Linked DNA regions of Callithrix jacchus. The protein of the gene in region 1 binds, or shares a complex with, the protein of each later gene. Links are inferred from orthologs where the notes say so. Each region holds a gene or a part of one and is shown on either strand. Other genes may lie near its edges. The genes, in order: WDPCP and FUZ.

Region 1 (3,827 bases):
ATTCGTTAGGGACTCCGCTTTTAAAAATTTTTTATGTTTGTTTTTAAGTATGCACCCAGTCATTACAGTATATCATTGCTAATAAATAATTAGTTAAGATAACTCTGTAAGCAGCAATATTATAGTAGTATCTTGTATCCTAAAATTATGATGTTATATTCTTTTTATTTTTAACTAATACTCACTGAGTACCGAAGTATGGGCCATGCACTAGGCATTTTCTCATTGTAAAAATACTAGAATTTTTTGGCTGGGTGCAGTGCTCAGCTGTAATTCCAGCGCTTTGGGAGGCTGAGGCAGGTGGATCACCTGAGGCCAAATGTTCGAGACCACTCTGGGCAACATAGTGAAACCTGTCTACTAAAAACACAAAAATTAGCCAAGCGTAGTGGTGCACATCTGTAATCCTGGCTACTCAGGAGGCTAAGGCATGAGAATTACTTGAACCTGGGAGGCAGACATTGCAGTGAGCCGATATTGTGCCACTGTACTCCAGCCTGAGCAACAGAGCAAGATTTGGTCTCTAAATAAATAAATAAATATATTCAAAGTTCCTTAGTTAAATTTTGACTACCTCCTAAAAGCACATTCAATTAATATTAAATAAATATTTACTGTGGGCCATGTGTGACTTCCTGGATACAGACTTCCTGGAAGAGCATGTTCTTACTAATTATTCTTCTCTAAAATTACTAAAATGAAGATTACCTACAGAATTCTATCTAAACAACTTTTGTATTTTGGCAATGTAATAAAGTGGGATAAGAAAAATCTATAAAAATGCAAAGAAAATAGAAAAGAAAAGCTCTCCAAGTAAAGATCTTTTGACATATTTCCTGTTCTTCCTATCTTATAAATGACCTAGGGACAGTTTCTCATTGGCCATGATTTTCCACCATTAATGTCAATGCTTACCACAAACATACGTAAGATGCAAATGTTAGACTGCTTAGGTGTATTATACATCGAGTAAATAACTTATAAGAAAAATAAGACTAGATAATTGGCAAATATAAAGATTTATTTCATTATTGTATGTGTCACAGCATTCCCCAATGCCCCCATCCCCTGACCTTTGTTTTTTTTTCACTTCTCTTTTAAAATTAAACATCTTAGATCTCTATGGACAAAATTACTTATTGGGCAAAGGTAAGGAAATTCAAGCAGGCAGAAAAGAGAAGAGTGTCAGAACTATAAGTCAGAATAAGGAAAATAAGAAGGAGCAGCCTGGGCTGCAATTCAGATACACAGAAAAAGTAAGTGTTAAGGACTATTGTCTGGACAGAGGACTTGGGTGTGAGAAAAAAGAACTGATGTCTGATGTGAGTGAGGAATGAAAGACCTTTGTTGGGTGCCCTTTGTCTAGCAGATCTCAGGGAGTACATAAAAATTTTGGTCAACGTTTGAACTATGAGCACATTACATCCTTGATCTTAAGATAGAATGGTACAATGACTACACTGTGAGTTCCAACATAAGCATAAACAGAAAAGCTGTTTTTTATGTTGACAAATACTATACAATAAGTACCATATGGGAGCAATCAACTGTTATCTGATCCTTTGAGTTTTACTAGAGCACTAAAGTAATCTCCAATAAAATAATTCAAAAACAACCTTAAAAAATAACCAATTTAATAAAATATATTTCATGTATATACAAAATACATCTAAGTAAAATATTTCAAGCCTGACCTTCTCTCTCTGGAGTGAGCTTTTGTCTAAGAAGATGGTTTACAATGGCGCTCATGCTGATAAAGCACTGGTGGCCCAGAGTGTCCCAGTTCATGCTGCTCAGGATGTTTATTGCCTCATAGATCTTATCACAGTGAATGTACTGGAAAATGATATCTACCAGGCCCAGCTGTCCTTGAGTGAAGACACCTGTCACAAAACATGGAAAACCAAGTGAATCTCTTAAATAAAAGTAGGAAAACAAAAAGTTAACTTTTCCATAAAGAAAAAAACCTGCATTGCTTGCATAAGTGCTAGAAATGTGGGACTGATCTCTTTCTCAACTAATATCTACTATAAGATACACTGGTACAACACAAACGTATCTATTGATCCCGTCAAAATGAAAGAAAATTCACTTTTACTCTCATGAACATGAGCATAAAACAAAGGTTGGGGGTAGCAATCTGTTCTGGTTTTATAGACTTTTAAATATGGCTGACCTCATTTGAAATTAATCATTTCTGTCTATTAAATGACAATAAGTATTAGAGCTGTTAGGTGTTTTACTTGTTTTTTGTTTTGTTTTGCTTTTAATCTTTTCAAAATTGTAGGTAGGCTATAAAATCTTTTTTTTCTTCACTGTTTACTGATTTAAAGTATAAAAAACTTCCTCTCAGTACAAATAATCATAAAAGAAAATGAGAAATGTGAAATTACTTTCTAAGCTGCAAAGTATTATAAAATATTACTGTATTTCTTTTTATTACTATCATTATCATCATCATCATTTAACTGGAATAGTTACAGGCTTCGGGATTTTTAAAAATGTATTCATTTATGAGAAAGATGTTAAAATTCTTCATACTAACTTCAAGTCGCATGAAAATGAAAACTTGTACTAACTATTAACAGGACTGAACTTGATAGGGAATCTGGGGAATTGCCCTGACTGTACTAAGCAATAAAACTTTACTATTCCTTTTGTGTTGGTAGAATCAAAGAATGTGACTGTCCAAAAGCCTTCATGAGCCTGCAATCAAGCATTGGAAGTCCTCATAAATCAGGGTGGTTCCTTGGCAGTAGATATTAATGCACAGGAACTTTACAGGAAACCAAAAATATCTGAAGTCTGTTGACTCTACCTATACCCTAAGTAATGCTTCTACTAGTAACAAGAGAAAGAACTCATATATTAAGAAAAGCTAACATATAATAATAAAAATCACTGAAAGGTGATAAAGAGAAAATCTTAAAAGGCAACCACAAGAAAAAAAAATACATTGGATGTACAGAAAAGCAAAGGCATGAATGATTATAGACTTTCCATCTAAAATTATATAATCCAAAGGAAAATAACAAGACATTTTTAAACTACTGAGAGATAAAAAGTAAATTAATCTAGAATTCTATACCTTTATAAATATGATTCAAAATTCATGAAGAAAGATTAACAATCCTTAAATGCACCTAATAACAGAGCTGTGAAATAATAAAGCAAAAATTGACAGAATTAAAAAAAAGAAAAAGCTAAATCTAAAATTATAATTGGTAGCCAGAAGTGGTAGCTCATGCCAGTAATCCCAGCACTTTGGGAGGCCAAGGCGGGCAGATCACTTGTGAGCACATGTTCGAGACGGACCTGGCAAACATGGCGTAACATCATACACAAATTAGCCAGGCATGGTGGCAGGTGACTGTAATCCCAGCTACTCAGGAGGCTACAACAGGAGAATCACTTGCATCTGGGAAATGGAGGCTGCAGTAAGCCAAGATTGCACGACTGCACTACAGTCTGGGTGACAGAGTAAGTCTGTTTCAATCAATCAATCAATCAATAAAATGATAATTGCAGATTGCTTCACTTTTACTAATCAAGAGAATATGTAAGCAAAAAAAAAAAAATCATTGAGTAAAGGAAATACTTGAAAAACACTATCAATGAATGTGACCTAAGTGACATTTATAAAACACTGCACTGAACCACAGTAATACACACATTCTTTTTAAATGCACACAAAACATTAACCAAGATAGAGCATATTCTGGGGTAATATAATAAAGCTAAATACATTTAAAAGTTTTAAAATCATAAGAGCATTTTCTCTGACCAAAACAGAATTAAATAGCAATAACAGAAAAATTATCTGGAAA
Region 2 (2,537 bases), on another chromosome or scaffold:
ACAGCTCTGGTCCTCTCTGACGGCGGCCCCTCTCCCTCCCAGCTCCTGGGGTTTGGCTCTGCTCTCCTGGACAATGTGGATCCCAACCCTGAGAACTTCGTGGGGGCGGGGATCATCCAGACTAAAGCCCTCCAGGTGGGCTGTCTGCTCCGGCTGGAGCCTAACGCCCAGGCCCAGGTGAGTGCTGCTGTAGGCGGCCTGAGGCCGGCAGGAAGGCTGCCTGTCCCCTCTGCGCCGCACCCCACCTGCCTCACTGTTCTTTAATTCACGTTTCCCGCTTTAACCCTCCTCTTCTTGCGTCTCTTTGTCCACTTTTTCTCCTCTTTAATCCATCAATCTTCTCTCCTGCCTCCATCCTCTGGGTCTTCCTTTCCTCTTCCATCCCTCCCTGATTTCTACCTTTCCACCGTTCTCTCCCCCTCATCTTTTATAATTTCCCTCCTCTCTGGCTCCTCTGTTGATTTCATTCTTTCTTCTCTCTTGTGTCTTGTATCGGCTTTCTGGCCCCTTTATCCTTCTTTCTTCTATCTCCCTTGTGTCCCCACTTCCCTGGGCTCCCCATCCCTCTGAGTTCTGCCCCCAATGCCCCGACCCAGATGTACCGGCTGACCCTGCGCACCAGCAAGGAGTCTGTCTCCCGTCACCTGTGTGAGCTGCTGGCGCAGCAGTTCTGAGCCCTGGACTCTGCCCCCCGGGATGTGGCCGGCACCGGGCAGCCCCTTGGACTGAGGCAACTTTGGTGGATGAGGTGGATGGGGGACCTCCACTGGTGACAGAGAAGACCCAGGGGTTGGGGGATGCCTGGGACCTTCCTCCAGCCTTTTGTATTTTTATTTTTGTTCATCTGCTGCTGTTTACATTCTGGGGGATCAGGGGGAGTCCCCTCCCTCCCTTCCCCCCCCCAAGCACAGAGGGGAGAGGGGCCAGGGAAGTGGATGCCTCCTCCCCTCCCACCCCACCCTGTCATAGCCCCTCCTACCCCCTCCCCACCCAGGGGCTGTGTATTATTGTGAGCGAATAAAAACAGAGAGACGCTAACAGCCCCATGTCTGTCCGTCACCCACTGCTAGGTAGTCAAAGAAGTGGGGTGAGGGCATGCAGAGTGTGGGTAGCTAGGCTTCGCAGCCCATGGGTGGGACTCTGGGGAGACAGCAGCAGCAGCAGCCGCCGAAGCCCCAGCTGCAGGGCCACCAGACGCACTCCTGAGCCTGGTTCCTCAGTCCCTACCACCAGGTAGCAGGCTCTGGGCAGCTGGGCCTGGTGGAACGCATCTTCTGTCTTCTCTGGTGACCCTGGCTCTGGGGAAAGGACAGGAGGCATCGAGGTGACAAGTAGCATGCTAACTTTCGGAAGCCACACCCCATCCTGGGTCCAAGTTCTGAACACGTGGGGTCTCTGAGCACAGGCTTTGGGAGCCTCCTGCCAGGGAAGGGCTTCAGGGCTCCAGCTGGCCATCAGCAACCTGAAGACCATGACTCTTGCTCAGCTCATCCTCTTCCTCTTTCTCTTCCTTGGCCCTCATTTTCCTGGGGAAACTGTGCAGCCATGGACCATCCTCTTAGCAATACACATGGCAAACACAGCAGCAACACAGGAGCTCCAGTAGCCGCCTCCAGGAGCTACCCACCCCACTGTTCCAGGCAGGTGGAGGGAGGCCGGCAGGGGCAGGGAGAGGTGGAGTCACACAGCTAGGAAGGGGTGCAGCCTCCTGAGATGGAGCTCTTGACCACTGTGCTGCATTAATCGGGCCTCACTGGGATCGTGGTGGCATCCCAGATCCCTTCCTTTTTCTCTCTGGGGCCTTAATGGGTTCTATGACAATTTTTCCTTTCTAACCCAGAATCTGTGAAATCCTCCCCCATCCCCCCCAGCCTGTCAGCAAAGCCTGTGCTTTCGGCAGTAGTGCAGAGTACTGGACTGTGGCTATGGGAGCCAGATACCCTGTGTTCAAATACGGCTCTACCATTTATGAGCTGGGCCTCAGTTTTCTCATCTGTAAAATGGGAATGATGGGATGAAGTAATTTCATTCTTTTATTACCTATAAAGGCACTGGCCAGAGGTGAGATCTCAGTACTAATTATTGTTAACTATGACCCAGGAGGTTCTGAAGCCAGGCAGGAATTTCCCTTCCCCTCCCTTCTCCAGGTCAATGCTCAGATCTCAAGGAAAACCACTGCCCCATGGCCCAGGCATGCTGGGTTCCTCCGGTTCCTCCAACCCCACCTCCTACTCCCACTTTGTGCCACCTGGGACTCGGTGTCCTGCTTGCGCAGTAGCACTGTGCCTGCCGCTCACCTGGTGGGAAGTGCGTGGAGGTGACCAGGGTGTAGAAGTTTCGGAGGAGGCGCCGGCGCTGTTCTGGGGAAGGCTCTGCGGGGAGGAAAAGGCAGTGATGCAGAGCCCCTCCTCGGCCCGCGCCCCTCCTGACCCTGTCCCTGCCCTCAGTCACCTTTATTCCCCAAGGGCTCCACAGTGAAGAGGCAGCGTTTCAGTTCCAGATGGAGGAGCAGCAGCCTGTGGGAAAGGGAAGGGATG

Evidence for each region.
Region 2: the proteins of WDPCP (region 1) and FUZ are in contact, whole or in part, in a cryo-EM structure (PDB 7Q3D), measured with the Homo sapiens proteins. The link is inferred for Callithrix jacchus from reciprocal best matches to the Homo sapiens genes WDPCP and FUZ. Residues at the interface, in NP_056994.3 of Homo sapiens: Arg55, Ile57, Asn75, Lys78, Leu82, Glu418, Asp419, Arg420, Leu421; in NP_079405.2 of Homo sapiens: His293, Glu372, Glu373, Pro374, Arg379, Gln397, Pro399, Thr400, His401, Gly402, Ser405, Leu406.

Annotation. Positions count from the first base shown.
Region 1 is NC_133515.1:50,655,992-50,659,818, reverse strand, and holds part of WDPCP (WD repeat-containing and planar cell polarity effector protein fritz homolog), read right to left. Parts: intron 1,884-3,827; coding exon 1,695-1,883; intron 1-1,694. UniProt on the Homo sapiens protein: Probable effector of the planar cell polarity signaling pathway which regulates the septin cytoskeleton in both ciliogenesis and collective cell movements.
Region 2 is NC_133523.1:43,582,392-43,584,928, forward strand, and holds the end of FUZ (protein fuzzy homolog), read right to left. Parts: intron 2,517-2,537; coding exon 2,452-2,516; intron 2,373-2,451; coding exon 2,298-2,372; intron 1,536-2,297; coding exon of another isoform or gene 1,519-1,535; exon of another isoform or gene 1,299-1,518; coding exon 1,075-1,298; 3' UTR 791-1,074; downstream 1-790. Other genes in the region: AP2A1 (AP-2 complex subunit alpha-1), read left to right, coding at 43-177, 597-674. UniProt on the Homo sapiens protein: Probable planar cell polarity effector involved in cilium biogenesis. May regulate protein and membrane transport to the cilium.